Linked DNA regions of Xenopus tropicalis. The protein of the gene in region 2 purifies or fractionates together with the protein of the main gene of each other region. This does not show direct contact. Links are inferred from orthologs where the notes say so. Each region holds a gene or a part of one and is shown on either strand. Other genes may lie near its edges.

What was found.
Region 1: the proteins of limk2 (region 2) and ttc1 purify together in Homo sapiens (affinity purification with mass spectrometry; 3 studies listed by BioGRID and IntAct, counting the BioPlex papers as one, with this or other methods). This does not show direct contact. The link is inferred for Xenopus tropicalis from reciprocal best matches to the Homo sapiens genes LIMK2 and TTC1.

The regions. Positions count from the first base shown.
Region 1 is NC_030679.2:16,155,444-16,159,278, forward strand, and holds part of ttc1 (tetratricopeptide repeat protein 1), read right to left. Parts: intron 3,436-3,835; coding exon 3,323-3,435; intron 2,802-3,322; coding exon 2,765-2,801; intron 1,734-2,764; coding exon 1,585-1,733; intron 1-1,584.
Region 2 is NC_030677.2:152,025,381-152,028,007, reverse strand, and holds part of limk2 (LIM domain kinase 2), read right to left. Parts: intron 2,511-2,627; coding exon 2,347-2,510; intron 1,835-2,346; coding exon 1,660-1,834; intron 1,557-1,659; coding exon 1,470-1,556; intron 827-1,469; coding exon 698-826; intron 413-697; coding exon 356-412; intron 272-355; coding exon 206-271; intron 1-205. UniProt on the Homo sapiens protein: Serine/threonine-protein kinase that plays an essential role in the regulation of actin filament dynamics. Acts downstream of several Rho family GTPase signal transduction pathways.

The DNA.
Region 1 (3,835 bases), on a different chromosome or scaffold from region 2:
GCAGATTGGTACTTTGGTGTAGAAAGGACTCTTTACCCATGTTAGATTTTTCAGAATGTGTACTTTCCAAAAATATAGAGTTTTTAGGGGTCACCCTACATTTCTGCAGCTTCTACCCCTCATAAAACTTCCATGTGTTTATAAATTAGGTAAAGGTAAGCCATAAAATTAGTGTGCACAAGGTATATTTGGGGGTCTCTAAGTGCCATGTGCTTTGATAAACCTATGTACAGTGGGCATCAAACTGTTCAGTGGACCCCTGGTGTTCATTTTTAGGGTGTTTTATCTTGGTACTTAATGCTATGTGGGAGATAAGATGCTGGAAACTGGAAGCTTTGAGTGGATTTTTGGAAATGTTATCAAAATTGCCAACTTTAGGAAAGCTTTGCTGCTTGGTACTTTGGAGTAGAAAGACATGGGTACCCATTTTAGATTCGGGGGAATGTGTACTTTCCAAAAATATATGACTTTCTGGGGTGAATGTACTTTTTACTAGCATTATCCCACATATAATTATGTAAATGTGTTGATTTTGCAGAAGCTGAAATGACAGAAATGATAGATCATATGGGGGTATGTTCACATTGGGGCCCCTACATGCCACATACTTAGGTAAACCTATACATATTGTGTATCAAACTGTTCAGTGGACCCCTGGCGTTCATATTTAGGGTGTTTTATTTGGTTACTTTATGACCTTTAGGAGATAAGATACTATAGACTGGAAGCTTTGAAGCGATTTTTAAAAAATTTCACAAATTTTGATAAAAACCAATAAATTTAGGAAAGCATTGCAACTTGATAGTTTGGAGTAGACAGACAGCTGTGCCTATTCTGGATTCCCCAGAATCTGTTCTGGGATGAACTTTGTTAGCGGAATTTTTGGCCTTAAAATCTTAAGTATGCAGCTTTCTGGAGCAGTGCTTTGGAAATCTGGTAGTGTACTGCTGGAGGTTTTTGACCTATACAAGTGAGAAATCTCCATAAAACTATATATATTTGGTATTGGCACGTTCAGGAGACATGGGACTTTCCAAATCAGGTGTATTTTCATGCATAAAATAATTTTTGTTTCTGGTATATGTGTTTATATTATGGAAAATATTTTTTTTCATTTTTTTAGACATTTAGAAGCCTATATCTTGTTACAAAATTGGAATTACACAAAAATTCTACCATATTTTAAAAGCTTAGGTTGTCCTGAAAAAACGATATATTGTTTTGTCCAAAACAGCTGGCAGTGAAAGGGTTAAAATACCAAGAAACCTTAAAGGGGCGGTTCACCTTATGTTATAGAATGCCCCATTCCCTAGCAAGTTTGCAATAGATCTTCATTATACTTTGTAGGTTTTGCCTTATTTGCCTTCCACTTCTACATCTTTTCAGATTTCAAACTGGGGTCACTGACTCCAGCAGCCAAAACACTATTGCTCCGAGACAATTTTACTATTGTTACTTTTTAATCCATATCCTTCATTTATACACTCTCCTATTTTTATTCCAGTCTCTTATTCAAGCCACTGCCTGGTTGCTAAGGTAAACAAGACCCTAGCAACCTGAGCACAAAGCCTGCAGCCAACTTACCATACAGGCTTCTCTGGCTGGATTAGCAGATGGATCCTTTTCCAGAACAGATTTATAGTCTGCCAGAGCTTCATCTAATTTATCAGTCTTCTCGTACAACTCTGCTCTTCTCAGCAATGCACGGATGTAGTCAGGATTAAGCTCTATTGCTGAAATTATACAGGAAAAGGCAGGGCCTAAGGTTACCTCAGTTCAGTTAGTTCATTTCTATTAAAGGCAAAGAACACCTCCCACCCCCTTCTTTGAGATGAGTTCATTCAGTCTCAAGTGCCAAAAAGAAATATACATATATTGCTTCAACATTCAGCAGATTTGGTGGGGGAGCCATGATAGTCTGCCTCTGACTTGCAGTGACTAAATTCTCAGCTCCACCTTAGGCCAAAGCTCCAGATAAGGCCAAATTTGATTTGGATGGTAAACTTTGATTGTCCTGTAGTTAATTTTCAACCTTATGCACATAATTAGTGACACCTTCATACAATTAAGAAACAATACTGAAAAAAAAAAAGTGTGGAAGTTAAATTTTACATATTAATATTTTCTTTTGGAATAATGAAACAGTCAGCCACGCTTTTTCTTAAAGGATACGTTACCTTTTTATTTTAAAATCCACAAAGAGACTCTAAATAGCTCCTGGAATAACATAACTTTCTCCCTGAATTCATAATCACGTTTGTTTCTAAATCATAAGCTAAAAACTGCAGCTCATTTCAGCTACTTTGTTGTCTAGTGTGAAGCTAAACCTCCTTTTCTTTACTGCCTCCTGCTCCAATGGAATTCAAATCAATCAGGCATGTGCAGCAGGCACCTCTATAACTATCTTCATACTCAAACAGAGAAAAAGAGCTCAGAAAAGGGGGCAGGGATCTACACTAGACTAGGTAGTAGCAGAAACTAACTGAAGTTTTCAGTTTGCGATTTAGAAATGACTTTAATGCAGGTAATGTTTTTCTGGGCACTATTGAGGACCATGGCCCATGGGGAGATTAGTCGCCTGCGGTTAATCCTGGCTGCAGCAGGCGACTAATCCTAAAATGCCTTCTCACCAGCGATTCACTTTTTTCACTTTTTCAGGTTCCTTCTGCAGGAAATGCTTTGCAACTGGGAAACCAGAAACAAAAAGTTTACATATTCTTTGAGTTTATTTCAAAACCTGGCAGACACTAAAGGAAACCTGTACCTTTTGAGCAGTCTTCTAATGCAAGATCATTCATGTTCTGTAAGAGAGAAACATATCAATGTCATTAGAAAAAGGGCATATTAAACATTAGACAGTAAATATTTTAGATAATATGCATATGTTGTCACACTAAAGCAAAGTAAAACCAGGTTTTGATCTTTAGCTCCAAAGGGATCACCAAAGCATTCTATATAGCGCTCTTTCCAGTTTTTCCCTAAAGAATGACTATAGTTTTCAAAGATTTTTTTCAGCATTTGATCCTGGGAAAGGTCTATACTTGCCCAGTATTTTTTTCCAGGCATTTATCCCTGAGGGAAATGTACCACTGCATTAAAGAAATGAGTTCTAGTAAACAGTCAGTGGTGAAATGAAGATAATAAATTTCACTTAGTTTAGTGTGGCCTAACTTGTTGCCATTGGTTCCTGGTGTGAAATAGATTCCCCACTAGGGAAAATAAACCAGCTTCGAGTACACAAATGGTGTAAAATCATTGCTATTATTTAATGTATAGGTCTTTTAGTGTATGCGATAATTAAAAAATGCCCTCATACATCTACCTGTCTCATTCTAGCAGCAGCCCTGTTCGAGAAAAGGATGGCGAGATCCTGGGAATAAAATGCCGGACACGTCTGAAGTGCTTGAGTGTATACAGTTTCAGCAGCAGGGTATTCTGGGACACAAAGCAGAGAGTATAATTACCTATATGCAGCTCAATTCTTATGCAGGTATCAGGTCTTTATAGAGGTGGTTTGCATTTAAATTAACTTTACGAATGTTATAGAATATTCCTTTCCTAGCAACTTTGCAATAAGTCATCATTTTTTTTTTTTTTTAATAGTTTTTTTTAATTGTTTGCCTTCCTCTGCTACATAATTCCAGCTTTCAAATTGGAGTTACTGACCAAGGCAGTCAAAAATTATTGCTCTGAAAGGCTACAATTTTATTGTTACTTTTTAATTACTTATCTTTCTATCCACTCCCTCTCCTATTTATATTCCAGTCTCTCTGGTTGCTAAGGTAAACAAGACCCTAGCACCAGATAGCTGCTGAAATTACAGACTGGAGAGATA
Region 2 (2,627 bases):
TATACCTGTTCTAAAATCAGTGTAGCTGTTCATATGCTCTGAATTTAAATGGGATTGTGACGAGCCACTATAAACATCACAAAGACCCATAAGTTAAGAACCCTTCTAACTGAAAATGGATAGAGGAAAACATATTGTAGTGTATAATAAAGTTTCTTTAATTTAAATAGCAAAGAGACAATGGACAGTGATTTTATTTTATTACCAGTTTAATGAGGCAGTTGTGTGAGTTTAGGTCTCTGTGGATGATGCTCATAGAATGGAGATATGCCTTGAGGGAAGAGATCATTGTTACTTTAGGATACCTTACTCTTATTATTATTTTGGTAGAATAAATTCAGTGACAAGGCCTTACCATTCCACATGCAATATCCTTAGCAAATGAGACTTTCTGTTGCCAGGGACAGTAATCCTGTAACAGAAAGCAGAGGTTAGGGAAGAATTTATGAACTATTAGGGCATATTTATCAATGGGTGAAAGTGAGAGTTCATTCATTTCTAAATAAGCCTTAAAAAGCCCATAGAAATGAATAGATAAGTGGTGAACTTTCCCTTGGTGGACTGTGGCAAGCTCTTGATTAACCCTTTGATAAATATGCCCCAAAGTGTTTCAATACACATGCACTATAACTGTTGTTATAACACTTGTCCATACATGTGGCCTTTACATTAACATGAACTGATCCAATGTCCTTACCGCTCGCAGGTAATCCTTCAGCGTTCCACACTCAATGAACTCAGTCAATAGGTTTAATCTACCATCCTTGTAGAGAACCCCAATAAATCGCAGCACATTGGGGTGATCCAGAGAACGCATGACCTTTACCTGAAATACAACAAATAACTTTAACCCATATAAAAAACTAACATGCAAAGTTTTTCCAAAAATCTGAATAAATTAATGTTGGGCATCCTCCAGTGATTATAACTGCTTACCTGATACCCTGATCCAGTGCTCATGTTTGCTAAAAACTGCACTGGCACAGGGTACTATTGAAGAGTTCCAGACTAGCATCTTCTTTTTTCTAAACTCTCTCTACTGTGTGGTTGGGGTGAGCAGTAAAAAAAGTGAGAATCTGAACCTAAAAGCAAACAGGCGGCTATTCACTCTACTACACCTGCACCTGCCCCAGGCCACAGAGAAAAAAGAAGTGGAAGATTTTGATGTGGTGCTCCTACAAAAATACCCTGGATTAGTGCAATTTTCAGCAAACAGACGCACCATAATGGGGTCTTAGGTCAGCACTTATAATAACATGTGGCACCCCCAGTGTCAAAAGCAGTTTCACAACACAATCCTACCCCCTATGTCACATAAAAAAAGTTTTAGACATTCAGAATAAGTTATCACTGACTGGGATGTTATTCAGTAAGAGAAAATGAGTCAAAGGACTGAATACATAATGCTGTATTATGTTGTATTTTTCCCTCTAATTTTATGTCCACTGTAAAAAACAGTATTTACCTACCTCGGTTAAGAAATTTTTCTGTGTCTGTTCATCAAATTGTATTAATTCTTTCATGACCATTACCCTCCCAGTTGCTCTGTGTGTCACCTATAACCACAAAGAAAAGTTCAACTTAATTAAAAAAAAATGTATTAAATAAAGGAGACTCATATATTAAATACTGTCTTGTAGCATAGTGAATGGTGTATACCTTAATAGCACGTCCAAAGAAGCCCTTCCCCAGTTCCTCTCCATGCAGCAGTTCACATGGGCGAAAGATCTGTTGAGCGCCACCTACTCCACATCGCAGAGACTCGGAACGTGACACAGAGCGAGGATCTTTGGGACAGCAGGTTCCTGGGGAACGGGTGTTGCTATTACTCCGCCTGTACACACCAAATAAGGAGATAAAGAATTGAAATTAAGTGGATATTATTGCAGACTGCTGTTAAAAGTGAGGGGAGGAAGGGGATGCCCTGAAACCAGCTGTTCGTGGCAGAAGATTACTACAAGTATAATTAAGTCATATTATCTCGGATGGCCAGATCCCATCATTCTAACCTGATTAACAGACTTCTCATAAATGATATATATATATAGCCATCACTAAGGATATTTATTTTATTTTTTTTTAAAAAACTATTTAAAGTCAGCTAAAATAAGCCGCTCAGATAATCAACCATCCCCAATAGGTGTAATTACAAACAGCTAGAGAAACAATCAAGTAGCACATAGAGAACTACAAGTGCGCTAAATGTTTTGTTGCATAATAGTGAATAAGAGAAAGAGGGACCAGCAGAAAAGTTATCTACAGTACTGAAAACAGCAGGCTACAAAAGTAACATTAGGGAGGAGCTGTAGAGTACAGGATAGCACTGAGAGGCAGGCAGAGTCTGACCGGATGGAGCTGCGTTTCATTGGGCCTTCGGTGCTACCCCTTGCCTCTATGGAACGAAAAGAGGGAGATTTCGGGGGAGCATTATCCACTGGTAAGTTAGGTGGGGGATTGTGTTCTATTAGAAGCTGTAAGGTCCGGTCTGTTGAGCAAAGCAAATCATCAGCCTAGAATGGTTAAAGGAAGGGAAAAAGCTGTAAGTTAAGGGAATTTCACCAGTCCTGTAAAACCAACAAAGGGTAATTTTCTTTTCGATTTTTACTATTTTTGACCCTTTACAGAAG